7 linked regions of the Neurospora crassa OR74A genome follow. The protein of the gene in region 1 interacts with the protein of each later gene in a pairwise test. Links are inferred from orthologs where the notes say so. Each region holds a gene or a part of one and is shown in the gene's direction. Other genes may lie near its edges.

Region 1 (4,007 bases):
CCCTCGAACTGGTTGCCAGCCAAGCGTCCAAGACCCAGCACAGCCTGTGCCCGGACCATGGCCTCCTTGTCGCGAATCCTCCTAAGTAGACTTGACCGTAGCTTCTGGAAGAGGTCGTCGTCAATCGCGTCGAGGGAGTTGATGATATGAGATATGAGTTGCGTTGACCGATAGCGCACAAACTTGTCCTTGGCGATCATCAAGGGAAGAACGGTTTCCATCAAGTGTCCGGTAAGCCGGGTGCTGGGTGTCTCGGGCATGGTGCTGGCGTCCGGGTCGGCCTCGCCGAGAATTTCGTTATCCTTCTCGACGGCATGCCGCAGGAACAGACCGATGAAGCGCACCGTCTTCTCGCCGACTCCCTCGCTCTTCTTGATGGGCATGACGCGCAGGACACAGCGTACAAACTCCTTGTTGAAGTCATCTTCCTCGAACTCGTCGGCCTCGGCGGGCTTCTTCGTACTCGTCGGCTCGTAGCAGCATGCTTCTTGTATCTTGCGCAGGGTCACGGCCAGCTTGCGATGGGATGCCGTGGTCTTTTGGGCGTCGCCGAAGACGGTCGCGACTTGTGTGCGTAGCGCATTGTCGGGAGTATCCAAGGGTGCTTCTGGTACGACCGAGGTCTGGCGCGCCCCGCGTGTCGCTCTCGTCGATCTGCCCGGCGCCATGGTCGGCAATGACTGTTGGTATTAGCGGGGCCTGCACAGCGGCAGTCCTCTATTTGTATGCGATATGGAAAAGGTACAAGTAATCCAAGCCCAAGATATAAGAAAACAAGCAAAAAAAAAAGACGGATGTGAGGTTTCGTAGGATGGCTTTTGCAACTGAGCAGGAGCCGGGGATGAATGAAAGTGACACTATTCGCGAATGAAGGTTGTTTTGTTTACTTTGCACTGCAGGTGGGCTGCTGTGAATTTCCTGGCGGCCCCGTCGTCACCTAGCGGGAGGGACTGTCTGACCTGCTGCAGAGGGGTCGCGCTGCTCGCTGCGCTGTATGTCGCAAAACGTATCGACCCTGCTGGTGAGCTTGAATGGTCTGTGCGCCCCGCCTTTCCTTTGGTGTGGATTGTGGAAGCGCGCGAAGAGAGGAAGTGGAAGAGACGGGCTCAGGATCCCGCTGCCAAGCTTGAGGGAAACGATAAGCTCCCTTGTACGCTCTTATCGGGACTCCACTTCGAATATTTTTCTTTGGGCGAAGGGTCCAGAACTGTTGTCGCTGGGGGAAGCTGTGCACTCGGCGATTCCCATCCACCATTTGCGCCTTGAGAGGGTCTGTTCTCTTCACTTTTGGTTTGATTTGGCTGCTTTCTCATCTCTCCCCTTCTTTCAACAACAACACCACCTAACAAACACATAACATAACAACCCGATTGCTTGCAATAATGGGCAAGGACGGGAACAAGAAGCGCCAACGCGAGGTGGACGAGGAGATCCCAGTTGATCCCGATGCCATCAAGGATTCCGATGTTGCTGCACAGAACCCCCCAAGCAAGAAAGCTAGAGTTGAATCCAACCGCTCTCTCTTCATCCGACAGCTGCCTCCAAGTGCCACCGCCGAGTCTCTGACCGAGTTCTTCTCCCAACATTTCCCTGTGAAGCATGCCACCGTCGTCCTCGATCCCAAGACCAAGACCTCGCGCGGCTATGGTTTCGTCACCTTCACCGATCCCGAGGATACCCTCGAGGCCAAGGCCAAGCTCAACAACTACCTGCTTGAAGGGAAGCGCCTGAAGCTCGACATTGCCGAAGCCAGACACCGTGATGCCAAGAAGACCGGACCCGTTGTGTCCAAGGTCGCCGAGGAGAAGCAGAAACGTGCCGAAGCCGTCGCCGAGGCCCAGAAACCCAACAAACTCATCATCCGCAACCTGCCATGGAGCATCAAGAAGCCTGAGCAGTTGGCCGAGCTATTCAAGCCATATGGTAAGGTCAGGTTCGCCGACTTGCCCAACGATAAGGGCAAGCTCTCTGGTTTCGGTTTCGTCACCCTCCGTGGTCGCAAGAATGCCGAAAAGGCTATCGAGGCCGTCAATGGCATGGAGGTCGATGGCCGCCCATTGGCCGTCGACTGGGCCGTGGATAAGCAGACATGGGCCCAGCAGAACGGCGAAAAGTCAGACGACAAGAAGGAGAAAAAGGACAAGAAGGTTAAGGAACCCAAGGACAAGAAGACAGAGGAGGAGGAGACTGCTGGCATGACACAGGAGGAAAAGGATCTTTACAACTTCTTCAAGAGCCAAGGCGAGAACCTCGAGAGTGAAGACGAGGAGGACGAAGACAAGGACAAGGAGGACGAGGATGAAGACGATGAGGACAAGGACGAAGATGATATCGAGGAGGACGAGGAGGACGAGGAGGATGAGGAGGAGGAACAGAAGCCCAAGCGGCTAACCGACAACTCTCTAACACTCTTCATTCGCAACCTACCATACACCACCACCGATGAGCAGCTGAAGGCGCACTTTACCCAGTTCGGCGGCATCAGATACGCCCGAGTTGTCAAGGACAAGGCCACCGACAGGCCAGCCGGTACCGGTTTCGTGTGCTTTTTCAACGAGGAGGAGATGAAGGCCTGCCTCAAGGGCGCCCCCCGCCATCAACCTACCACCACACTCGTCAAGCACTCCATCCTTCAAGACGAGACCGTCGATCCGGAGGGCAAGTACACGCTCGACGGGCGCATCCTTCAAGTCGCCCACGCCGTCTCCAAGGACGAAGCCGAGCGTCTCGCGGAGGCCTCGGCCGGTAAGAAGGACAAGGACAAGAGACGCCTGTACCTCCTGAACGAGGGCCAAATCACACCCTCGTCTACGCTCTTCAAGGTCCTTACCCCGGCCGAAATCAAGATGCGCGAAGCGTCGGCCAACCAGCGCAAGAAGCTGATCCAGTCCAACCCGTCGCTGCACCTGTCGCTCACCCGTCTCGCGCTGCGCAACCTGCCGCGCAACATCGGGTCCAAGGAGCTCAAGGCGCTCGCGCGCCAGGCCGTCGTCGGCTTCGCCAAGGACGTCAAGGAAGGCAAGCGCGCGCCCATCTCCAAGGAAGAAAACTCGCGCGGTGGTGAGCAAGACAAGGAGAACGAGCGCCTCCGGAAGCTCAAGGGCAAGGGTGTCGTCAAGCAGGCCAAGATCGTGTTCGAGACGACCACGGGCACCAAGGTGGACGAAAAGGTCGGTGGCGGCAAGTCGCGTGGCTACGGCTTTATCGAGTACTCGTCGCACCGCTGGGCGCTCATGGGCCTGCGCTACCTGAACGGGTTTGCCGTCAAGAACGAGCTGGGCAAGACGCAAAGGCTGATTGTCGAGTTCGCGATCGAGAACGCGAACGTGGTGCAGCGGAGGAGACAGGATGAGGAGAAGCAAAGGACGATGACGCCCGCGGAAAGGAAGGCGGAGATGGAGGAAAAGAAGAGATCCAAGGAGGCCAAGGAGGCATACAAGGCTGGAAGGAAGGCGGATAGGAAGAAGGGCGCTAAGCCTGAGAAGCCTGCTGGGTGGAACAAGGGCAAGGATAAGAAGGGCCCGGCTGAGGTGGCCAAGGCCGCAGGCGCCGCCCCGGCGAAGGAGGTGAAGGCTGAAGATATCAAGGTGGATAAGAAGGGCAAGAAGAGTGAGATGGTCAAGGAGGCCCTCATGACCAAGATCCTGGCGAGAAAGAGGCAACAGAGGAAAAAGAAGGCTAACATTAGGGGCAAGAAATAAGCCTGGGCTCTTGGAGTTTACCTAATGTAGGGAGAGAGTGTGTGTTTTTCTGCTGCTGGCCCGGAATGTTAAACCATTTATGTTATTCTTAGGGCCTTTCCTGTTTGCTATCTAAGTATACCTTTATCACGATCAAAAGCAATCCCTTAGCGTTTTCCAACACCTCTCAGTCTATTTCCGCCGTGGACACTCGTGAACTCTTTCGCTGGCAGTTCTTAACCAAGACAACGCTCAATAATATTGTACGCCCTCTACATGCTATTATTATATAATAGAACGCCTGTTTGCCTGCTTTGTTTTTCTCGC
Region 2 (4,042 bases), on another chromosome or scaffold:
GAACTTGCCGCCAGGCTTGAGGACGCAGAGGGCGAGGTTGAGGGCTGCGAAGAGGAGCTGTGACTGGACGTAGATGTCAAGATCATGCAGGCCTGTGACGTCGGGCGCACCATCGCTGATGACCAGATCCACTGGGTGTGAGGCTTGCGGGTTCATGGTGCTTGGGTCGAAATCGGGGTCCAACGCCTTAAGCAAAAGCGGAACGGTGGCGGGATGTGTGATGTCGGCTCGGAGAGTGATGATTCCTGGCAGAGGGCTGATGGGCTGCAAGTCGATGGACACAATCTTGACCTGTTCCCTGGGAGCCGGCGTGCTCTCCTGAGTCGCCTGCACCCTCTGAACCTCATCCTGAGCGTCTTGCTTCTCGGGAAAGACGTTGAGCATCTGTTGGCGGAACTTGGCCTCACGGTCTTGCCAAGCACACCGGCCGAACTTCTCTCCCTTGATGAGAACCCTCGATAGAACCTGAGACCAGGAACCGGGGGCAGCGCAGAGATCGACCACACGAGTGACATTTTCAAACAAGTTGAATTCTGATGGGAACGCTCGGTGTTAGCGGTGATACACTTCTTTACATTACATATGCAATAAACAGTTCTTACCTTCGTCTAGTTGAAGAAGCTTGAAGGCACTTCTGGCACGCCATCCTTGCTCCTTTGCAAGGCGATAGTAGGCATCACGCTTGTCTTTTGATGATTTCCCCATTTTGAATGCTTCGCTCTCACTTACTTGTGTCGAATAATGAAGTGCCGCGAGTGGGTGACGAGAGTGAATGACGGGAGCTTGTGAAAGAGACTGGGCCCCACTTTTGCCTGGTGACGGGTCGCTGTCGCTGGGCGCCGATTTGGGTCCGTCTGCTGCAAATAGTCACCGCCAAAAAGGATTCTGCCGGCATAATTATCGAGCACCTTGGCGGCCCCAGCACTCGCACACCATAGACGCGCATACTTGGAGGGAAGGACTTTGGCGATAAACGAAAGCTTTGAATCATAAGATGTCGTCTCATGTTTTGTTTCCTCCATCAAAGTCAGACTGATTGTTTCCACGTCCTATTCTGTCGGCACCCTCTACACTACAAGCTTGTTAGCCAGACCTGGAATAGGTAGGCGGTGTCATTTACAGCACATGGGCTAGCCTGTTCCAGCTAGAGGCTGCTGCAACCCAGCTGCAAGGTGGAGCCAAAATTTCCATTTCACTTTTACAGCCATTTTCACTGAGCAGTGTCAACAACACCCTTCAAATCAAAGTTCATCAGTGCATCCAACAACCTCAAGCACTCAAACCCGACACCCTTTTCCACCCGAAAACGACGACATATTCACACCATGGCCGTCGATAAGAAGCGCAAGAACACAAAAGCCCCCGCCAGCGGGCCAAAGCGCCGCAAGACGCAACCGTCGTCTAAGCAGATCAAGCGACCTGTTTCCGTTGATGCGCTGGCATGGAAGACGGTCGACATTCCTGAAATGTTCGATGATGCGGAGGGTTTCTTTGGTTTGGAGGAAATTACCGGTGTTGACATTGTAAAGGATGGCGATGTTGTCAAGTTCGTAAGTTGGGTCATGGATGATGACAGCGACAGGACATGAATGAACTCACATATGTCTTTAGATGGCTGCGGTCCCCAAGTCGGAGGCAGAGGTAGAAGATGACGGCGAAGAGTTTGGTGGTTTCGACGACGAAGAGACACCGAAACCTGCTGGAAATGCGGACCAGGAAGTCAAGACATCAGAAACCAAGGCCGAAGCTGCGAGTACTCCAGCCAAGGAAAAGAAGGCCTCCAAGGACCAGAGGAAGCCAAAGGAGCAGCAAAAGCAGCAAAAGCAGCAAAAGCAACAGCCAAAGAAGGAGCAGCCAAATAAGGCAGCGAATAAGAAGAACGCCGAGGACAAGAAGAAGGCCCGCAAGAACGAGAAAACTACTGTCGAGCCGAAGGACCCCGAACTAGAAACCGATCTTTTCACCAAACTGGAGGAGCTTCCTGAGCCTGAAGAGGAGGAAATTGATATGTCCGAATGGGTGCCACTCGATTTGTCACCTCGTATGATCTCGTCCATCGCCAAACTCAGGTTCTCCAAGCCCACCGTGATTCAGTCCAAGGCTATTCCCGAGATCATGGCTGGTCACGACGTTATCGGAAAAGCATCCACCGGTTCGGGAAAGACGTTGGCATTCGGAATTCCCGTCATCGAAAGCTGGTTGAGCGCTGCTGAGACGAGGAAGCAGAACAAGGAAGAGAGAAAGGGCGCTACAGCGCTGATTTTGTCACCCACCAGAGAACTTGCCCAGCAGATCAGAGACCATCTTCAAGCGCTTTGCAAAGGTCTTCCTACAGCACCTTACATTTGCTCGGTTCTTGGTGGCATGGCCGTACAGAAGCAAAAACGACAGCTCCAGGTCGCCGATATCGTCATTGCGACCCCGGGCAGAATGTGGGAGGTTATGAGCTCAGATAACTCTGTGCTCGCTTCTCTGAGGAACATCTCCTTCCTCGTGTTGGATGAGGCAGATAGACTTCTTAAGGACGGTCACTTCAAGGAGGCCGAGGAGATTTTCAAGGCTCTTGACAGGCCACCGGTGGAAGAGAACAATGAGGATCAGAAGATGGGCGGTACTGATGAGGAGGGACAGGAAGAGGAAGAAGAGGACAGCGAGGAGGAGGAGGAGGAGGAGGAAGAGCACGTCAACAAGAGGCAGACTCTCATTTTCTCCGCCACGTTCAACAAGAACTTGCAGCAAAAGTTGGCCGGAAAATCCAAGTTCAAGGCGACGAGCACCCAGGACATGGAGTATCTTCTCCAGAAGCTGAACTTCCGCGAAACCCCCAAGTTTGTCGACGCCAATCCCGTCCACCAAATGGCCGAGAACCTCAAGGAGGGTCTCATTATGTGCGGCGACATGGAGAAGGATCTCTACCTCTATGCCACTCTCATGCTCCAGCCCACACGGCGCGCGCTTGTATTCACCAACTCGGTCAACTCTGTCCGTCGCCTAACCCCCCTCCTCGAGAACCTCAATCTTCCAGCCTTCCCTCTCCACTCGGGCATGATCCAGCAAGCCCGTCTGCGCTCTATCGACCGCTTCAAGGCCAACGAAGGCGCAAAGAAAAAGAACGGTTCTGCAGCTATCCTGGTCGCTACCGATGTTGCTGCCCGTGGTCTCGATATCCCCGACGTCGACCTCGTCATCCACTACCACGTCCCGCGCGCCGCCGAGGACTACGTGCACCGCTCCGGCCGTACCGCCCGTGCCTCCAACTCGGGCACGAGCATCCTGCTCTGCGGGCCCAAAGAAGCCGTGCCGACGCAGCGCCTCGTTGCCAAGGTGCACGCCCAGGCCGAGGTCAAGGCCGGCAACTCGGGCAACAACACCAAGAAGCTCGTTTCGAGCGGACTTCGCACCATCGATATCGACCGGCGCATCGTCGCCAAGTTGCGGGAGCGCGTCGACTTGGCCAAGAAGATCGCGGATGCGGTGCAGGCCAAGACCATGGGTGGAAAAGAGGACGATTGGATGAAGAAGGCGGCAGAGGACTTGGGCGTCGACTATGACTCGGAAGAGCTTGAGAAGGCGGGCAAGTGGGGTGGCAAGGGTAGCTCCAAGAAGCAGAAGCAGAAGGAGGCACAGCAGATGAGCAAGGGCGAGTTGGCGTCGCTGAGGGCTGCGTTGAGAGACCTCTTGAGCAAGAGGATCAACACGGGCGTCAGCGAGAGGTACCTCACTGGACTGGATGTTAGTGAGCTGCTGAAGGGCGAGCAGGGGCTGTTTTTGGGCCAGGTGGACGGATTGGGCTTGGATGATTAGACGCAGATTCATGGCTGTGGTATTGCATGTTTCCTTTCACGGTTAACCATTTAATTCTGAGCGGTGATCTACATATAGTATCCGGTCTCTTCACTCTGAGTAAGATGTCTTGTATTTTTTCTCTCGTGTTTTGTTCTATAAGGCACTAAAAGAACAGTTCACGTCTTGGACTGTGCTGCCAAGTGAGACAGGGTCCATGGGTCCATCAAGGTCTCCATCTTCCCCATGGCCTAGATTC
Region 3 (3,135 bases), on another chromosome or scaffold:
CAACCTGCATCAGGGGTAAATTCCCTAGGTATACATTCGCCAATTCGCAACATGTATCTGGTTTTCCATTCTTCACTTCAACTCTACGCCGTCGCTATAGCGAAATGATGGCAGCCGAACATGCGCGCAAAGTACCACGGTAAACGACATCACATGGTATCATTGCACTTCTATATCCAAACCTATAACTAACTCCCTTCCCACTTCCTTATACGCTGAGCGTTCCCTTGGTGCTAGGAACTTCACCCTCGCGACCCGCCACCCGGCTAGTAGCCTGCCTCGTGGCAACCGCAAGCGCCTTGAATGCGCTCTCAGCTCTGTGGTGGTCGTTGTCGCCGCGGAGGCAGTCGACGTGCACGGTAATGCGGGCAGCCCCGGCAAAGCTATGGATACAGTGGGGGATCATCTCGGTGCTGAGATCGCCAATCTTCTCGCGCTTAAGACCGAGGTCGACAACGGCAAAGGGACGGTTCGACAGATCGACGACGGCACGGCTGAGGGCCTCGTCGAGAGGGCAGTATGCGGATCCGAAGCGCGCGAGGCCGGTGGGTGTGCCGAGAGCCTTGGCAAAGGCGTAACCAAGAGCGATGCAGACGTCTTCGGCGGTATGGTGGTCGTCGACTATGAGAGGGACAAAGTCAATTCAGAGTTCTGGATGTTGTTCCACGAGGACTTCTGCGCCCAAGCCAAGTGTGTCTACTAACTGTGAAGGTCGCCCTTGCAAGCAAGCGCAAGACTCCAGCCGGCATGCTTGGCAAGCGCATGGAGCATGTGGTCAAGGAAACCAATGCCGGTATTGACGCTGATAGTTTGCGATTTGCTAGCCTGAGTGGCATGGCCGTCGGCGATACTGACGTTCAAGCGGGCGTCGGTCTCGGGAGGGAATGCGCCGCCATCAAGGTTGAGTGCGATCTGGATCTTGGTCTCGTTGGTGTCGCGTGCAAAGGCGGCCCAGCGGGGCGCGGGCTGTTCGGTGCTCATTTTGTCTGAATAGGGCGTCTGAGACTTCTGGGGACTGTAGACTCTTGGGATATCACCACGGCAGTGTGATCAATTGCGATGTAAGGATGGCGACAATAAAGGTGATCTTGGAAATTTTGGCGATTTCGGAGTGCCACCAGTGAGGGAACGCACCGATAGGCAATCGATATGGAATAGGTACCTCCACTAGTGCTGCCAACCCCGCGCTTACACTAGAAGGAAACTAGAGTTTCCTGCTCGCCTGCCGATCCCCAGCTGCCAATTAGAGATTTCAAGGCAGCCCCACGGCGAGCTGACAGACCCCACTGCCCCGTAACCGCGCTCAGCAGGCGTTGATACAGTGCTATATGCACAAGCTCTAGAGGTACCTTGGATTAACCGCGATAAGATAAGGCAGGGACCAATTCCGGTCCCAAAATTTTCCCCAGAAGTCGACCGAACTGAAGCGACAGCGTACAGGATACATTCGAGAGTATTCGTACTCCATCCACCCATCCATATCCCGAACCACCATTTCATCTATCGTTGATTTCTTACGACCTTATCAACGAATCAACCACAACTCACAATGGCGCCGACAAAAACGATAAAGAACAAGCACGCTGCGAACAAATCCGGCATCAAGGGCAGCAAAGATGCGGAGAGGTCGAGGAACGATGGAGTGCTCAAGTCCAAGGGAAAGCCGAAGGGCAAAGCTCACACTCTCGTGACTGCCAGCAAGGGCCGACCGAACATCCAGGAGCTTATCGCCAGGAAGAAGAAGAAGAAGACCTACAGCGAAAAGGAGCTTGCGATTCCGGAACTCAACATGATCACCCCCGTTGGTGTGACCAAGCCAAAGGGAAAGAAGAAGGGCAAGGTGTTTGTGGATGACAAGGTAAGCTGTCTTTCGTTAGCGTCTGGGGTCATATTGGTTTTTTGTTTTCTTGCTAGGTTTCAAGACCGGAAAGCATCAAGTAACTGACATGTTTTCCCCCTTTGTACAGGAGAGCATGGCCACTATCCTAGCCATCGTACAAGCAGAAAAGGAGGGCCAGATCGAGTCCAAGATGATCAAGGCGCGACAAATGGAGGAGATCCGCGAGGCGAGACGCGCTGAAGCCGAGAAGAAGGAGGCTGAGCGCAAGGCCAGACTCGAAGAGACTAAGGACTCGCTGCGCAAGAAGCGTAAGCGCAGCAAGCAATCGGGCGGTAGCAAGGGCGACGACGACGATGACTCCAGAGATGTCAAGGAGTTCTCGTCTGCGGGCACGAAAGCCGTTAAGTCGAAAAAGAAGAAGTCGGTATCCTTCGCTGCTCCCGAATAAATAATCAAGCAAGGATGCTGGGAGCTTTGAAGGTCCCTCCTGGGAATGGGCTGGGAGAATGAAGACAGGAAGGGTGGAAGTTTGTCGTGTAATACCTACACCAAGCATTTTTTCTTCGCATGTATGGCGTCTGGGCGTTTATATCAATCAAAGTCTGGCGGCGGGTAGGATGGCTTGGCTGGGGGAACAGTTCTGACTGATTTTGTGTGTGGAAATTAAAGATACCAATTGGGCACGCCAGCCTTGGTCCAGCCTCTTTTTCTCATGAGTCGGTAGATGTTATTAGGTGAAACCGTCAGGATGGTGTAGTTCGTGGCTCGCATAAGCCATCAATGAACGTACGTTCGAACCTGTATCCAAGTCGAAAGCGCGAATCTAAGTCTATGTGCAGCCCCAATGTGCCTTGAAGCGCGTCTAGACCCTTTAGGCCCAATCGATGGACCCATCTCTATAGCTAATCTATGTACAGTCTTCGTTCTTTTCAAGTGTTCATTCCACCACCATCTATTGATCCACATCGAGAATCTGCAACTTTCGCTGCACAGGGTCGAAGTGAGTTCTGAACTGGCTATCGAACTTGTCACAAGCATCCGGCTTGATGGCGTCCAAGTCAATATCGAAAGCCATCTTGTTCAGGAAGTTGCAGATCTAGACAACAAATCAGCAAAAAGTTACCGGAAAGTGAGGCAAAAAGAAACTTACAGGACGAGTATGCCATCGTCCGCCACCAAGTTCGAACCATGAAAGATGTCCGCCGAGAGACGTGAGGCAAAGTACCGTGTAGGGGTTCTGCTTGATCTCTTGGTAGGGAATGGCCTCCTCAACAGCGATCTAGTAATTTGTCAGC
Region 4 (4,145 bases), on another chromosome or scaffold:
CTTCAATTTCTCGGACTTACATGATTCTCTGATGTGTATATGTATAAGCACCTTGTCCCATAAAACAGCGACCAAGTCGCGACCCAAAGCTTTGCGTGTAAACACCCCCATTCCTCTAAACCCAAGAAAAATGGCTTCCTTCGATTCGTTGTAAGCTCCGCTACTGCATCGTTGATGAACACATCTTGCAATTGCCGTAGTTGAATATTGCTGCGCATGCTCATATGAAAGAGCATTGCAGGTTCTTCTTGCTCAGCCAATAGGCTTCAACTTCTTTTTCTTTTTCTTATCCGAATCCCCAGACTTGCCCTTTTGAAACGCGCGCCAACTATCGATGCGCTGGTCTCTCGTCTTTTCCCAGTCCTCTTCGTGCTGCCTCTTGCGCTTGCGCTGCTCAGCCTCCTCGTCAGCTTTCCGCTGCTCGCGGCCTTCCTCCTGCATCTGCGCCTTGAGCTGTCTGCGTCGTCGCTGCTCGTTCTCGATCAGCACAAACTTGGTCTTTTCCTGCCACTTCTTTTCAAACTCGGCCGTCTTGAGCTCAGGGCTGTCGACCGTCCATTTGTTCTCGCGGATCAGCAGCATGCGCGCGTCCGCGATAGCTTCGTCTAGGTTCTTGCGGTGCTTCTCCTCCATTAGCTCCGTTTGCGCCTTCTTCAGTCTATCGAACGCCTCAGGCGCCAAGGGGTTTTTGGTCTTGTCGGGATGGATCAGCAGGGACTTTTTGCGGTAAGCAATCTTGATGTCGGATTCGGTCACGCCGGGCTTGAGGCCGAGGACTGAGTAGGCGTCGAGCCGGAAGGCTTTCAAGATACGGTCGATCTCGGCATCCTGTCGGAATTTAGATTGTCAGCAACTACTGAGTTGGGGATGTAAATGTTGGTATAGTTGGGCGTGGTTGTTGTCTGGCTTGCCTTCTCCCACTCCTTGGCTTCAGATTCCAGCACTTCAAGCGCATCCCGAGTGTCGGCAGGAGTTTCGTCTTTGACGTCTTTAACGTCCTTCACGTCCTTAGTGTCTGTCGCCATATTGTCGCCGGAATGGAGGGTCAATCTGGATGCTTGTTTGATCAATTACAAAGGGTTGATGGATAAGTAAGTTCGGTCTACCAAACGGAACGCAACTCCGGGGAAGTTTAGGGAAGTTCAGTAGTTGCGACTTGCGACACCTCCAGGAGCGCGGAAAGCACAGCTAACGCACGCCAGCGCTGCCAAGGCAAACCCACGGGCATGCAATGGGTGTACTTGATAAGCTGATAATGGATAAATGTCACATTGGCCCCACTAAAAAGTCGACCATCCAAAATTTACGGGTGACGGGCAGGCATTGATGGCTACAGTAGACAAGAGACCCCAAGACCCCATCATCATCACCAACCTAAACTCCAACCCACCCCGTCCGTCTTTGCATCTTCAATTAGCGATTCGTGCTGCAATTGGCAGCAACACAACCCTCGCTCACCATGCCTAGACGCGCAGCGTCCCCCACACCGTCCGAGAACGAGGTTGACATCGCGGGTGCTTTGTTCAACAACGACAGCGACTTCGAAGACAACAGCAGCAAGCACCACACCAAGAAGGGAGCTGTTACGAACAGCGGGCTTGACCTCGATTTCAACGATCTTCTCGGTAACGGCGATGATGGACTACCTAGCTTTAATGGCGAGGGCGATGATGACGAAGCCTTTATCGCTTCGCTCACACGGAGCTCGCAGAGAAAGTCCTCCAACATTCAGGGCAAATCAGTCAAGAAGGGTGGAGGTTTCCAGGCAATGGGTGCGTAGTCTTCCGTCCCATGGCATAAGTTGATGATGCTTGGGGCAGCTGCTGATACTCTCCTAGGTCTAAACGCCCATCTCCTCCGAGCGATTACCAGAAAAGGCTTCTCCGTCCCGACCCCCATTCAGCGCAAAGCGATCCCCCTGATTTTAGAAAGAAAAGATGTGGTCGGCATGGCCAGAACCGGTTCCGGAAAGACTGCAGCTTTCGTTATCCCCATGATTGAGAGGTTGAAGGGGCACAGTCCACGTGTTGGCTCGAGGGCGCTCATCATGTCTCCCTCGCGTGAACTTGCGTTGCAGACCCTCAAGGTCGTCAAGGAACTCGGCAGAGGTACCGATCTAAAGACCGTATTGCTCGTCGGTGGTGACAGCCTAGAAGAACAGTTTGGTATGATGGCGTCGAATCCCGATATTATCATCGCCACACCCGGTCGTTTCCTCCATCTCAAGGTTGAAATGAACCTCTCTTTGGCCTCCATCAAATACGTTGTCTTCGATGAAGCTGATCGCCTCTTCGAAATGGGTTTCGCTACTGAGTTGACCGAAATTCTTCACGCCCTCCCTCCTTCCAGACAGACGCTTCTTTTCTCTGCGACGCTCCCATCGTCCTTGGTCGAATTCGCCAGAGCCGGTCTTCAAGAGCCAAGCCTTGTCAGGTTGGATGCCGAAACCAAGGTGTCACCCGACCTCGAGAGTGCTTTCTTCGCAGTAAAGGGAGGTGAGAAGGAGGGTGCCCTTCTCCATCTTCTCCACGACGTCATCAAGGTCCCGCTGGGTCCGCCCGAGGGCACAAAGGAAGAGAGTGACGAATTGCAGGCGAGGAAAAGGAAACGCGAGTACAGGCCCAATCCTAAGGAGAAGCCGACGGAATACTCGACCATCATCTTCACAGCAACGAAACATCACGTCGAGTACATTGCGAACCTGTTGAAACTCGCAGGCTTTGCCGTGTCCTACGTTTACGGTTCGCTTGACCAGACGGCCCGTTTGATCCAAGTTGACAACTTCCGTCGGGGAAGAACACATATTCTCGTGGTTACCGATGTCGCCGCCCGTGGTATTGATATGCCTGCTCTCGCCAACGTCATCAACTACGATTTCCCATCTCAGCCCAAGATCTTTGTCCATCGTGTTGGTCGTACAGCTCGTGCGGGTCAGCGTGGTTGGGCCTATGGTTTGGTCCGTCAGTCAGACGTACCATATCTACTTGATCTACAGCTCTTCCTGGGAAGGAAACTTATTATCGGCCACGATCAGAAGAACCCTTCCTTCGCGGCAGACGTCGTAGTTGGAACACTAAAGAGAGATGGAGTGGATGTTAACATTGAGTGGGTTGAGAAGGCGCTCAAGGAGAGTGCCGATCTCAAGGCGCTGAAGGGTGTTGCCGCAAAGGCCGAGAAGCTCTACATGAAGACGAGGAATTCTGCGTCGAGCCAGAGCGCAAAGAGAGCCCGCGAAGTTACGCAGTCCAGGGGCTGGACACAGCTCCATCCTTTGTTTGGAGAAGAAGCCGCTGAAGCCCAGGCAGCTCGCGATGATCTTCTCAGCAGGATAAACCGCTTCAAGCCCCAGGAAACCATCTTTGAACTTGGCCCTAAGGGCAAGTCTAGCCGCAATAAGGCCGCGGAAGTTGTACGAAACATGCGTTCCAGATTCAAGGAGCGCAAGACTACCAACGACGAGGATGATGAGGACGTGGACATGGAAGATGCCGAGGGTAAACCTGACGGCGAGGAGACCAATGCGTTCGAAGACTTTGAGGATGAGGAAGAGGAGGGAGAGGCGGAAGAGGCAGAAGAGGCGGAAGCCAAGGAAGACCCATACGCCGACGACTCGGATTCGGAGATGGAGGTTACAGTATCCAGCAGCATGCATACGAAGAAGAAGGGTGGCCCGGTCAACTTCCAAGACCCCGAGATCTTCATGTCCTACACGCCTCGCACCACTAGCCTTGCGGAGGAGAAGGCTTACGGTGTTCACTCGGGCGGCTACAGCGGCAACAGCTTCGTCGAGGCCGCTCGCGACGCTACCATGGACCTGACCAACGACGAGAGTGCCAAGAACTTCGGTCTGCCCACGAAATCCAAGATGCGTTGGGACAAGCGTCACAGCAAGTACGTGGCGGTCGCCAACGATGAGGACGGCTCCAAGGGCGCCAAGATGATTCGTGGCGAGTCCGGTGTCAAGATTGCCGCCTCGTTCAAGAGCGGCCGCTTCGACCGGTGGCGCAAGGATAACCGTCTCGGCAAGTTGCCCACGATTGGCGAGACGGAGAAGTCGCAGCTCATCCGCAACTTCGGAGCCCAACCTGGCCAACCGCGGTACAAGCACAAGATGGAGAAGGCGCCCAAGGATGCGGACAAGTTCA
Region 5 (3,610 bases), on another chromosome or scaffold:
ACGCTCCTATGCAGAGATCATGGCAAGGGCCCAGGCCAATCAGCCCATGCTGTCATCCGTTGGAAAGATTCAGCACAAGAAGGTGGAGAAGCAGTTGACGCTGAAGGAACGCAAGGAATTAAAGGCCGAGGAAGCGAAAAAGGGCAAGAAGGATGTAAGGCCACCGACTACCGGGAGGAGCGGTGTGACAGCTGGGCCAACCCGCAATGGTACCAACGGCACGACTGCGAACCGTCAGCGGAGTATCACCCCCTCAGCCCCGGCTGGCGCCAAGTCCAAGACAGGCCAAAATGCCGTGGAGGAGAAGAAGGTAAAGAAGGCTGCTTTAGCGACGACTGGATACCAAGGCACGGCACGTCCCCGCCCAGGGGCCACCACCACAAAACCAGGAGCATCCACCTCGGCAGGCGCAAGTAGGGGCCGTGGGCTGTCCGGTTATGGCGCCTCATTCTCACGTCCCCGGAGACGCGAGGAGGAGGATGAAGAGTTGGACGATTTCATCGAGTACGACGAAGATGAGGACGATGGCTACGGCTATGGTCGTCGCGGTGGTTACGAGTCACTGGAAGAGGATGACTCAGACATGGAGGCGGGATTGTCCGACATCGACGCGGAGGAACGCCGGGCAGAGTTGCAGGCTCGCAGAGAAGACATGGAGCAGGAGGCGCTGGAGAAGAGGTTGAAGCGCGAGAAGGAGGAAAGAAAGCGGGCAGCACTTGCAAAACTCAAGTCCAGAGCCGGAGACCGCTGATATGTCGTGGTTGCGTGGCGTGTCTCCTTCTTTCTTTTGCCTCTAAATTGGGAAGGTTTCGGCGCATCGTGATAATTTCAAGGCAGGAATTCGTTTTCTGGAGACGGTTTTGCAATGGCGTTGGCTGGAAGACAGGACGGACACCCAGAAACATTTTGCATCAGCGTCTGGAGTTTAGTCATTTTGCACGGATTCCGGTTTCATTGGCGGGCGTTGGCTGGCAATAGAGCCCGTCGGACGAATTATAGTATAGGTTGTCATGACACGGTGTAGCATATCTAGATATCTTAACACCCCCAAGCATACCACGTCTTTGGGTTTTGCCTTTGTTGACATACCTACTGTGCTCGTTGAAGCGGGTTATGCGAGCCACACAACTAGTGTCCCTTGGTAATAACCTAGTTGCAGGAGCCATTCTACGAATGGTAAGGTGATCTCCGGATCTATACAAAAGTTGTCCACTGGCCTTCCATCAAGGTTCTCGTCCTCAACGGGCGGCTCTGGCTGCCGCGGTGCACTTCCAATGCCCTGCAGCTGGCAGGCACCTTCATCCGAACCCACTCCACGTTTTCCTGGACATGCTGTTAAGTAGATATCAACCAATGACAGGTGATGAAGCTGCCCCACTATGTCCACCTCTTTACGGGTCTCCGCCACTGGAGGAGCCGCCCGATAAGGAAAGCTAGCCTTGAATGGTTTTTTTATCGGCTTCAAGACGTCCGTTCAGCAGGCATTCGCATAGGTAGAGGTACTGAAGCATATTGACCTAAACCGCATCGTCATTCTCGTCGCCCTTCGTCGCCCTACAACATCTGAAGGCCAGATTGCGTCGCCACATATCTTGAACCGCAAGACCCTCAAAGGGCCTAAAACACCAATATGGTACGGATATCATTTCTTCGAATTGCCCTCCCAATCCACAGCCACTCTCCTCAACATCATGACCCCTTCCGATCACTTGAGAGCAGACCATGCTAACCGACGTTTTCCTGAATACAGCCTCAGAACGAATACATCGGTATAGTTCCCTTCGCACTCGATCTTGATTACCGTCGACCTGTTTCCAGTCCCTAACCAATTATTTCGTTTCGCAGAACGCGCCCAGAAGCTTCACGGTAAGCGTCTGGACACCGAGGAGCGCGCACGCAAGAAGGCTGCCCGTGAGGGTCACAAGCAGAGCGAGAATGCACAGAACTTGCGTGGCCTGAGGGCCAAGCTCTTTGCCAAGGAGCGTCATGCCCAGAAGATCCAGATGCGCAAGGCCATCAAGCAGCACGAGGAGCGCAATGTCAAGGGCGCCCCCGAGGAGAAGGACCCTTCGAACCCCGTTCCCGCTTATCTGCTCGACCGTTCGAACCCCACGAGTGCGAAGGCTTTGAGGTACGTCACTTGAATGGGAGGACACATGAGAAGCGAACGGCCGCGGCGGAGGTGGAGGCCAATGTGAATGCAATGATGGCAGTAGTCATGGAGGTTGGAAAGGGTCCCATACGATGACGAGAGACTGACCGTTTTCTTCGTGCAGTTCCCAGATCAAGAGCAAGCGTGCCGAGAAGGCCGCTCGTTTCTCGGTCCCTATTCCCAAGGTCAAGGGTATCAGCGAAGAGGAGCTTTTCAAGGTCGTCAAGACGGGCAAGAAGGTGCACAAGAAGGGCTGGAAGCGCGTCGTCACCAAGCCAACATTCGTCGGACCCGATTTCACCAGACGCCCAGTCAAGTACGAACGCTTCATCCGGCCCATGGGTCTCCGTTACAAGAAGGCCAACGTCACCCACCCTACCCTCAATGTCACGGTTCAGCTCCCCATTCTCGGCGTCAAGAAGAACCCCAGCAACCCCCTTTATACCCAGCTTGGTGTTCTGTCCAAGGGTACTATTATCGAGGTCAACGTTTCCGATCTTGGTATGGTCACCGCGTCGGGCAAAATTGCCTGGGGTCGTTATGCGCAGATCACCAACAACCCTGAGGTATGACCAGCACAACCCCGCCTCTTAACTTTACATGGACGAACTGCTAATACTTAACTTCCACCAGAACGACGGATGCTTGAACGCTGTGCTCCTGGTTTAAGCGCAAGAGTGAAGAGGGTGATGGTTTGATTTGTCTAATTATATGTCTAGTCTCTTGGGCGGCAACTGTAACGGGATTGCGTTAAATCTGATTTTGCATCTGGGACTGGCGTCTGGTGTTTTGAAAGAGGATCGACACTCACGGCCGCGCAAAATATCTCGTCCGGGGGTTCACTTAGGTAGTATAGTGGTTAAGATACACACACAATCTGCGGTAGAACATTATACCCTCCGATCATTTGTTTTGGTTGATTGTATCACCTGATGGTTTAGAAGACATGGATTAATACGATAAGACACATAGATATATCTTCTCTGGTTGCTGCTGCGCTTGATCTAGGTTGACTCCCATGGGTTTCGAGCAGACTATGCTGGCAAGCGATTAACCTTACAAAGGTCTAAATGGCTGTATGGAACCCTGCATCCTGAGTCGATGGAAATTTGCTGGTCGATTTGACATGCAACACCGCAAGCAACTAACGCAAGGGCAACACATTGACTTCTACATCAGCTCAGAGCATCTAGCTTGTCTTCTGTATCTTGATTTTAGAAGGAGAGCAGTTCCGAGCTTCATCACTCCAGGGTCAACCCAGCCTCCAAGAATCAAAAGCAGGTATTTTCTATCCAGACCGACGAGTAACTTCTGTACTCTTCAAGCCCACTTGCCACCACTCAACGGTCAACGAAACGCTGATACCGTACCAACGAAGAGCTACTCGAAGCGATATAAAGAAGCGATTTGCCCATGTCTCGGGATCCTAGCTTTAATGGCCCCGGGAAAGCGCAGGAA
Region 6 (4,195 bases), on another chromosome or scaffold:
CGCTTTCGGGGTTCGTCGAAATGACCTCAATGTCGACGACAGGCACGTCATCGGCTGAGAGCTTTTCGGGAAAGGTATTTGACTCAGTCCGCCTTTTGAACGGTTGGCTGAGATCTTGTTGCTCGGTGACTGAGGAGCGTTTCCGCTTTAGGATATCATGTCGGGGTGATAGTGTGAGGATCTTTTCAGGCGAGGCGGAAACTATTTGTACTTTCTTCGCCAGCACGGGAGATCGCGCAGGTGGTAGTTTGGCAGCAAATTCAGGCTCTTCGTCACTCAGGTCTTCCGAGGCCTCTTCGTCACCCACTTCTGCTTCTTCTGAGGGAGTGTTTCGCCCGCTGGCAGTGTTTTCCGGTTCGTAATCAGATTTGATTTGCTGCTGAAGCTTGCTAGGGCTGCGCTCGAACGTCCGATCGCGGCGGTCGGTGAATTGTCGAGTGCCAGGCTCACCCGCGGTGTCTACGATGTCGCGCGATACTCGATCTTTCGGTGGTGTGTCGTAGAGCCTCTCTGTCTCTGCCTCGGAGTCATTAATATCCACGTCCGACAGCTTGCTCTCGTCGTCAGTCTCAGCGCCAAGGTCCGAGTCGACGCCATCGCGATTGTCAGTTCGGACCGATGTCTCGCGATGTTGAGAGTGGTTACTGTTCATGTCCAAATCCATGTCGTCAGGATCTCCATGCTTGTCTTCCACGTCACTAAGTGGGCTTGACACATCGCTAGGGCTGTGTTGGAGCAGAGGCGGAGGGGGGCTCGAGAGAGCCAAGGACAGCGCGGTGTCACCGGTAGCCATCGCGGATCATAGAATCCGACGAGATTGAAACTAAGCAACGACGCGCCAATGTTGGGTTGAGCAGCTGAGCAGTGGAAAGTTGGACGGCCACGTAGAATTTAGTCGTGGACGGCGGACTGGACGTCCGAACTGTACGGGCAGCTCAAGAGCAGCACCTGAAGTTGTGGCGCCACGATCAGGGTAAAGTGTGTTTATGCCGGAAGGTTAAAATGTGTGCTCGCACACAATGAAATGTCTCGGAGATATGGCTTTGTTGTCGGTACGAGGGCGCGATTGTCAAGAGATAACGTGCGGTCTGGGTAGGTAAAGTAGTAGGAAGACAGATCGGGAGAGTGAGGAGCGGGCAGTAGGTATCTGGTTGACGACCTAGACTGGGAGCTGGACAAGCGCCCACAGCACCGCACCAGCACGCAACACAAATGGGCAACCGGCAGGTTTCTGGGGGGCTCCATTGCCTGCCCGCTTGCCTGCCGCCGCCGCCCGTCTCCAACAGCCCAGCGCACCACACAAAGGCGATGGCAGGCGGTGAGTCTTGGCAGCTTTGATAACAACTGATAAGCGAGTTTTTTTTTTTAATGGGAGGATGCAAGATGTTCCACGGTCCTCGACTCGTCCTTACGATGCGCAGTGGGGAAGGTAGAAACGACGACCCTTTGAAACCCTGGACCATTGAACCTGCCTGCATAGAAACTGGTCTTGCCTTGTACAACATCCTGCTAGAAATCAGAAGTGGAAGCTTTGCAATTCGATTTTGACAGCATTTACAGCCAATCACATCTTTCGCCTCGTCGTCGAACTTCAGTTGTTTTTCCGTGCTCTTAGAACTAAGTCAATCACAAGTGCTTGATTGGCGAATCGTGCCACTTTCCCATCCATTGCGCTTACACACGACGGAAAACTCACAATGGGTAAAACGTGCGAACAGCCCTACGCTACAGTCAACGCCATTCTTCCAGTATTCTGACACCACTATTATAGTAAAGGACTCGTTGCGCCGGTGAAGAAGGTTGATCCTAGCTTGGATGCTTTGTTTGCTACCAGTGTAAGTCATCTCGCTCTGACCAGACAGGCAATTGGAAGTTTACATGGCTAATCTTGTGTAGGTTGGTCCAGCGAAGCCCCGCCCAGCTGCAAAATACTCCGAGCCCCTACCGACAAAGTCCAAGAAGGCGCCAGTACCTTCCAAGAAAGAGGAAGACGTTCAGGACGAGGGCGATGACGAGGAACTGAGCGAGCTTGACGAAGAATACGATTCCGAGGTCGGCATTGGAGAGGATGACGAAGACGACGAGGCTGAAGACAACAGTGACAGCGAAGACGAAGCCGTCGCGACCCTCGAAGTTGTTGTAGAACAAGGAAAGGTCCCGGAAGAAGATGGACCGAAACGGAAGCGGAAGCAACCCGACCAGCACGACAATCTCGAACACAAATACCTGTCCAAGTTGGCGGAGGACGATGAAGAGCCGGCTGGCAAGCGTCTCAAGGCCGACGAGCAATCCGGAGAAAAGAAGGATACCGCCAAGGCCGAGAAGAAGGACGACGACGACAGCGAGTCTGCGGATGAGGTCCCCGTTCACGAATCGCTAGCGCCCGATGCTGCCCAGAACGAGATTGAGAAGGCCAACCGCACCGTCTTCCTCAGCAATGTCGCCGTCGAGGCCGTCACCTCTCGTTCGGCCAAAAAGGCCTTGATGAAGCATATGGCTTCAGTGTTGGACAAGGAGGCGAAACCTGCGCAAAAGGTTGAGTCGATACGGTTCCGCTCGACTGCCTTCGCTACCGCTGCCATTCCCAAGCGTGCCGCTTATATCAAGAAGTCCGTGATGGAGGCCACTACGAAGTCGACAAACGCCTATGTTGTCTACAGTACCCCTGCGGCCGCTCGTCTTGCCTGCTCGAAACTCAACGGCACAATCGTGTTGGATCGCCACATCCGTGTCGACAGCGTTGCCCATCCTGCCCCGGTAGACCACAAGCGCTGCGTCTTCGTCGGTAACCTTGGTTTTGTGGATGACGAGACAGTACTGCAAGTGAAGGTAGACGAAGACGGTAAGGAGGTGACCGAGAAGAAGAAGCGGACAAAGCAGCCTATGGACGTTGAGGAAGGTCTCTGGCGGGTATTCGGTAAAGAGGGCGGCAAAGTTGAGAGCGTTCGTGTGGTCCGCGACCCTGTCACCCGTGTCGGCAAGGGCTTCGCCTACGTTCAGTTCTGCGTGAGTTATCACTTCTCTCTGTCTCTTACTTGCCCGTTATCAACTAACAACTCTGTTCCCCCTCCGTAGGATGAAAACGCCGTCGAGTCAGCCATCCTCCTCAACGGCAAGAAATTCCCGCCCATGCTCCCCCGCGAGCTACGCGTCAGCCGCTGCAAGGCCCCTCACAAGACCCTGCGTGCCATCGAAGCCAAGAAGCTCAAGGCGCAGGGTGCCGTTCCGGAAACTATGAAGAAAGGCAACAACGGGAAGAAGGGTCCTGGCTCCAAGAAATCCGACTACGCCCCCAAGATCTCCGCCGAAGCCAAGACCATCGCCGGCCGCGCTGAGAAGCTCCTCGGCAAGTTCACTGCCAGACAGGTCATCGGCTCCGACAAGAAGAAGACTTTCAACAAGCAGGACAGATACCAGGCCAACCAAAGGAGGAATCACGCCTCGGGCGCCAACACGGAGGCGACCGGTCCCAGAGTCCCGGGCGCCTACAAGTCCCCCGAGAGTTTCATTCTCGAGGGTAAGCGTGCTAGTGCGGCAGACGGAAAACCTAAGGATCTCAAGTTCAAGGGCGCCAAGAAGAACAAGGCGCCGAATGCGGGTGGTGGTAAGAAGAAGACTGGTCGTGCTGCTGCGAGGGCTTCGAAGTGGAAGGTTCAAGGGAAGGGGAAGAAATAAGTGCTAGGCCATTTGCCTGATGTTTAGGGTTGTTTGCTGGTATAGAGCCAACGGGCAGCAGCCGGCGTGGTGCGGGTGCGCGCGTTTCATCCGGCGCGGCCCGTGGATTTTCAAGCTTCAAGAAAAGGGGCAGAATTCGAAAGTGAACAGAAGCCTTCGATTCATGACGCGCGCATGTATGGATAGGATAGGATAGGCTGTAATGCAGTCATCGCATATGAAGGTATCTCAACGGACTGTCCCCAACCGCGTGATACTTCGCAATGACGGGAATGTGGAGGAAGAGCCTTGGCGCCCAGAACTAGGTACATATGTAGTTGTCTGAAATTGCAGTATAACCGTGGAACGACTGTTAAGCCTGGCTCCGTGGTTCTTGCGACAGGGAATCGCAAACAATACAAAAATTAACAACACGGCCACATTGAAAGAAAATAAAAAAGAAACAACGTGTAAAGCCTTCAAGTGCACCATACCAACTTTCTACATGATGTCTCGTGGAATTGTGGGTGAGCTGTGTAGG
Region 7 (4,276 bases), on another chromosome or scaffold:
TTATAAATAGAAAGGGTAAAATGAAGGGATGTACTAGTATGAGGGTAAAAGAGTAAAGGGGGGAAAGAATAAGGAGAATCCTTTAGAAATTGGGCAGCTAGCTATACTATTTGGAGGGTTTCTAGTACCCCTAACAGCTCTAATAAGGGGTATTAGGTACATTTGACACCCCTTATTAGCTCCCTCGAGGGGTCCCTGGCAATTGTAAATTTATATAGCGAGCCGGCTAACGGCTAGCACTTAGCAGCTAGTAGGTATACTATACTAAAATAATACATATAGTGAAATTCCTAGTATTTGTTAAGTATTTGCATTTATTAGGTCTAGCATTTACGAGGCACATTACTATAAATAGAAGTGTCCGGTGAGTGGGATTCATTAGTAAATCCAATATATACCCCACGGGCACTAAACTCCTAGTTGTAGGTCCTTCTACAAGTTAATACTAGTTTGTTTGTTAGTTTGGTTCTTTAGCTATACGTTGAATAGGAGAAATTGTTTAAAGCTTCTATTAGCCTTTAAAGAGAGAAAAGGGCCTCTGTTGGAAGCGTTATATAATAATAGCCAGGGTGGAAAATGCTATGGAAGCCTTCTTATACCCCTCTTTGTCTCATTTAGGACCTCCAAGACTGGAAGATATGAGAGAGTAGTCCCCTTTTAGTACCTGTCTGAATGAGGTTCAAACGTTTTTCCTACCCTCGACATTTGGTAGCTGGCTCTAGAGTAGAAATTGGCTTTTTTTTAGTACTAAACCTACAAACACACTAAAGTTAGATTGTACAATTCAATTCTAAATCAAATATTGAAAAAGTTTAATTGTACGGTCAATATTATCTATCCGTACGGTAATGAAAAATAGACTTTCATATTCTTTTTCTAACTTAATAGAGTTTAGTATTAACTTACCAAAATGCATTATATTTTTTCTGATCTTTTACTCTATCTAACACTCTTTTTGGAGTGACCAGACCTACCTAGTAGCCCTAGGAAACTCTCAAAGAAGATAGCTATTATAAATAAATAATTAATAAGATTTTAGATGAAAAAGGCTTAAGGGGTAGTTTTTCCATGATGCTTAGGGATATAGATTTGGTACCTACCTTAAAAAATTCCTCAAAAATGAACGAATAGTTTGGTGCCACTTTCAGTTTCATTAGTCTCCGTTTTACTAAGTTATACTTAATAAAGCAAAAGTAGACCACCGTACGGATAGACAATATTAACTGTACGATTAGACTTTCTCCAAATATTACCCAGCGTAGGACTTAACACTTTTAGCACTATTTCAGGCTTGCATCGCCAAACTCCACCGAATGAAACTTGATAAGAAAAAGTGTCAATCGAAGTACCGCGCCAATGATGAACCAGCCGAGGTTTGGAGAGTACTGCATAGTACATAGAGATTTGTCAGTGTACTGTGTACATCTGTACCTCCACTTGCTCCACTCTTCCTGCAAGACGCACGAGGGTCCGCTAGGTGCATGATCCAAGCATTTTTTTTTCCAACCCTTCCTCGTAGATGGTTTATTTTGCATCACCAACAGCCAACCTCGAGACACATTGTGCCGGCCCGCTGTCCATTGATTTCGGCAACGACGGATTTAGGAGATATGGGCTCATCCAAGTCACCGAGGCAAAGAAAGAGGAAAGGCATGGGGCCGGCTTTCGACGAAGCAGCAGCACTTGCTCAACTGACCGAAAAGATCGACCAAACTCTCGCTGGCGTCGGCACTGACCAACACGCGTCACCAAATCGCAAGAGACCGAACACCACAGCTGATGATCGAGATGCAAAGAGGCGCCAGAAATCTCTACTGGGCACTGAAGAAGGACAAGAGGACCGTTCCAGCAAAGACCAGTCCCACAATGCAACAAAGGAGGTTCTGCTGGAGGAAATTTTGGCCTTGGGCGGAGACGAGGATGATCTTGAGCTTGTCGCCAATGTTGATTCCGACAATGAAGAGGGACCTGGCATGAAATCTGCGTCGGCGCCCGAAAAATCCCTGGATAAGTCATTTCATGAGGAACTGACAAAGTTCGCCTTGAGCCTGGGCTTCCAGAACATACCCCGCGAGGATGACCTTGAAAGCGTGTCGTCTGAAAACCCCGTCGACGAGGAACAAGACGAAGAAGACGACGAAGAAGAGGACGACGACGCGGAACAAACAAAACAGGATGACAGCCAGGATCAGGAACAGCCTCTAGCCATTTCTGCCACAGTAAAAAGTGAGAGCACAACTACGACCGCCCAAGACACCCTGCGCGGGAAGAAAGGCAAGAACAAGCTGGTTAGTTCGACGCTCTCGCTGCCGCAGACTTACCTGGCGGTATGCTAACTTGAGTAGGGTTTTGAGCCCAGACCTGACTGGCATGCTCTCGACCTCGAGGGCCTACCTGCCTTCACACCATCTGCCGACGTTAGGCAATATTCTTCAGCGATTGCCAACCTCAAAGCTTACGCGGACGCTCTCTTGAAGGAGGACGCGGCAAGATACAACGCCCTCCAGGCCTCCAGCTCCACTCAGAAGTTCATGTCGACCATTATGTCTTCCGGCACCTTATCCGACAAGGTATCTGCCTTAACCTTGTCGATACAAGAGTCTCCTCTCCACAACCAGAAAGCCTTTGAAACCCTGATCGGGTTGGCCGGCAAGAAAAGCCGTAGTCAGGCACTCGCTGCCCTGGGCGCTCTAGTGGATCTGCTGGGCAATGGCACAGTTCTGCCAAGTAATCGCCGGCTTCGTCCGTTCAACATGCAACCCGCCTTGCTGGCCGCTTTACAAGATCAAGCTGTGCTGCATTGGGTTCAGGGCCAGAAGCTCCCAGCCAAGCTAACTGATTCTTACCTGATGATGTGGGCATACGAGGATTGGCTCAAAGCAGCGTATTTTCGCATTGTCCAGCTCCTCGAAATCTGGTCGACTGATCAGATTGAGCATTCGAGAATGCGCGCGCTGGAATTTGTTTTCACATTGCTCCGGGACAAGCCGGAACAAGAGGCCAATTTGTTGCGACTTCTTGTTAACAAACTCGGTGATCGCGAACGGAAAATTGCATCTCGGGCGTCATACCTCCTCTTGCAGTTGCTCAACATTCACCCTGCGATGAAAAGCATTGTCATCAGCACGGTAGAGCAAGAGGTTTTGCTCAAGCCAGGCCAAGGTCTGCGCACCAAATACTACGCCATCATCACCCTGAATCAAACCATCTTGAGCACCAAAGAGCCCGCTATAGCCAACACGCTACTCCGAATCTACTTCGAGGCTTTCCTTTCCCTCCTCAAAACTGGCTCATTGGGAAACCTGGAAGCGCTAAATTCCGAGGACAAATCTGGCGGCAGCAACAGGAAAGCTAAGAAGGGCAAGCGAAATCACACCGAGGCTTCTGCCAACGAGCAGGATACGACACAAAAACTCGTATCCGCACTGCTTACTGGTGTCAATCGTGCGGTACCCTTCACTACCGCCGACGATGAGACCATGGAAAAACATCTCGATACCTTGTTTCGCATCACGCACTCGTCGAACTTCAACACCAGCGTGCAAGCACTCATGCTCATTCAACAGCTCGCCGTGACCAAACATCTCGCTGTTGACCGATTTTATCGGACATTGTACGAATCATTATTGGATCCCAGACTCATCACGTCATCGAAGCAAGCATTGTACATGAATCTACTTTTTCGAGCCCTGAAGAATGATGCCGACGTGCGGAGAGTGAAGGCTTTTGTCAAGAGATTGGTTCAGGTGCTTAACCTGCATCAGCCGTCCTTCGCATGCGGGGTGCTATATCTGATTTCCGAGCTGGAGAACATGTTTCCTGACCTTCATTCGTTGCTTACTGTTCCCGAGGAGAATGAAGATGATGGCGTGGAGGCTTACAAGGATGTCAATGATGATGCGGCTCTGCAGCGCAGTCTCTTGCGTGAAGACGCACCAACTTCCCGTCGTGCCACAGGATATGATGGACGAAAGAGAAATCCCGAGCATAGCAATGCGCACAGAAGCTGCTTGTGGGAATTGGTAAGTGCCTATTTGAACTCTGATTGCATGTGAAACCAGTTTACTAACCTCAAAACCACCAGGCTCCTCTTCTATCTCATTTCCATCCATCCGTACACGTTTATGCCAGTAACCTTCTCGTCCGTCAAAAGGGCCTGCCGAAGCCGGATTTGGCCAACCACAGCCTCATGCATTTCCTGGACAAGTTTGTCTACCGCAACCCCAAGATTACCGAGACCAAGCGCGGAAGCTCAATCATGCAGCCGGTCCTCGCT

The links.
Region 2: the proteins of NCU06217 (region 1) and NCU04041 interact in binary tests that used the Saccharomyces cerevisiae proteins (3 or more experiments, as listed by UniProt). The link is inferred for Neurospora crassa OR74A from reciprocal best matches to the Saccharomyces cerevisiae genes NOP4 and MAK5.
Region 3: the proteins of NCU06217 (region 1) and NCU01301 interact in binary tests that used the Saccharomyces cerevisiae proteins (3 or more experiments, as listed by UniProt). The link is inferred for Neurospora crassa OR74A from reciprocal best matches to the Saccharomyces cerevisiae genes NOP4 and LOC1.
Region 4: the proteins of NCU06217 (region 1) and NCU07712 interact in binary tests that used the Saccharomyces cerevisiae proteins (3 or more experiments, as listed by UniProt). The link is inferred for Neurospora crassa OR74A from reciprocal best matches to the Saccharomyces cerevisiae genes NOP4 and DBP10.
Region 5: the proteins of NCU06217 (region 1) and NCU00981 interact in binary tests that used the Saccharomyces cerevisiae proteins (3 or more experiments, as listed by UniProt). The link is inferred for Neurospora crassa OR74A from reciprocal best matches to the Saccharomyces cerevisiae genes NOP4 and NSA2.
Region 6: the proteins of NCU06217 (region 1) and NCU09131 interact in binary tests that used the Saccharomyces cerevisiae proteins (3 or more experiments, as listed by UniProt). The link is inferred for Neurospora crassa OR74A from reciprocal best matches to the Saccharomyces cerevisiae genes NOP4 and NOP12.
Region 7: the proteins of NCU06217 (region 1) and NCU09894 interact in binary tests that used the Saccharomyces cerevisiae proteins (3 or more experiments, as listed by UniProt). The link is inferred for Neurospora crassa OR74A from reciprocal best matches to the Saccharomyces cerevisiae genes NOP4 and MAK21.

The regions. Positions count from the first base shown.
Region 1 is NC_026503.1:1,936,286-1,940,292, forward strand, and holds NCU06217 (nucleolar protein 4), read left to right. Parts: upstream 1-1,207; 5' UTR 1,208-1,382; coding exon 1,383-3,701; 3' UTR 3,702-3,865; downstream 3,866-4,007. Other genes in the region: NCU06216 (nuclear condensin complex subunit 3), read right to left, coding at 1-668. UniProt on the Saccharomyces cerevisiae protein: Required for 60S ribosomal subunit synthesis. Probably involved in the processing of 27S rRNA to produce mature 25S rRNA.
Region 2 is NC_026506.1:2,535,164-2,539,205, forward strand, and holds NCU04041 (ATP-dependent RNA helicase mak-5), read left to right. Parts: upstream 1-1,242; 5' UTR 1,243-1,325; coding exon 1,326-1,550; intron 1,551-1,611; coding exon 1,612-3,804; 3' UTR 3,805-3,940; downstream 3,941-4,042. Other genes in the region: NCU04040 (tRNA (uridine-2'-O-)-methyltransferase TRM7), read right to left, coding at 1-533, 603-705. UniProt on the Saccharomyces cerevisiae protein: ATP-binding RNA helicase involved in the biogenesis of 60S ribosomal subunits and is required for the normal formation of 25S and 5.8S rRNAs. Required for the maintenance of dsRNA killer plasmid.
Region 3 is NC_026505.1:3,571,647-3,574,781, forward strand, and holds NCU01301 (60S ribosomal subunit assembly/export protein loc-1), read left to right. Parts: upstream 1-1,420; 5' UTR 1,421-1,549; coding exon 1,550-1,858; intron 1,859-1,967; coding exon 1,968-2,288; 3' UTR 2,289-2,635; downstream 2,636-3,135. Other genes in the region: NCU01300 (imidazoleglycerol-phosphate dehydratase), read right to left, coding at 209-621, 705-981; NCU01302 (hydrolase), read right to left, coding at 2,793-2,936, 2,991-3,119. UniProt on the Saccharomyces cerevisiae protein: Required for efficient assembly and nuclear export of the 60S ribosomal subunit. Involved in asymmetric localization of ASH1 mRNA.
Region 4 is NC_026504.1:2,109,850-2,113,994, forward strand, and holds the start of NCU07712 (ATP-dependent RNA helicase dbp-10), read left to right. Parts: upstream 1-1,345; 5' UTR 1,346-1,459; coding exon 1,460-1,772; intron 1,773-1,838; coding exon 1,839-4,145. Other genes in the region: NCU07713 (DnaJ domain-containing protein), read right to left, coding at 253-828, 912-1,025. UniProt on the Saccharomyces cerevisiae protein: ATP-binding RNA helicase involved in the biogenesis of 60S ribosomal subunits and is required for the normal formation of 25S and 5.8S rRNAs.
Region 5 is NC_026501.1:6,508,714-6,512,323, reverse strand, and holds NCU00981 (ribosome biogenesis protein NSA2), read left to right. Parts: upstream 1-1,446; 5' UTR 1,447-1,630; coding exon 1,631-1,633; intron 1,634-1,750; coding exon 1,751-1,769; intron 1,770-1,845; coding exon 1,846-2,131; intron 2,132-2,276; coding exon 2,277-2,718; intron 2,719-2,785; coding exon 2,786-2,821; 3' UTR 2,822-3,110; downstream 3,111-3,610. Other genes in the region: NCU00980 (hypothetical protein), read left to right, coding at 1-751. UniProt on the Saccharomyces cerevisiae protein: Involved in the biogenesis of the 60S ribosomal subunit. May play a part in the quality control of pre-60S particles. Under normal, rapid growth conditions, high levels of NSA2 would allow the progression of pre-60S particles through the ITS2 processing.
Region 6 is NC_026501.1:5,442,169-5,446,363, forward strand, and holds NCU09131 (nucleolar protein 12), read left to right. Parts: upstream 1-1,395; 5' UTR 1,396-1,697; coding exon 1,698-1,708; intron 1,709-1,771; coding exon 1,772-1,835; intron 1,836-1,896; coding exon 1,897-3,006; intron 3,007-3,075; coding exon 3,076-3,675; 3' UTR 3,676-4,131; downstream 4,132-4,195. Other genes in the region: NCU09130 (hypothetical protein), read right to left, coding at 1-793.
Region 7 is NC_026501.1:3,985,411-3,989,686, forward strand, and holds the start of NCU09894 (CCAAT-box-binding transcription factor), read left to right. Parts: upstream 1-1,476; 5' UTR 1,477-1,481; coding exon 1,482-2,288; intron 2,289-2,345; coding exon 2,346-4,022; intron 4,023-4,084; coding exon 4,085-4,276.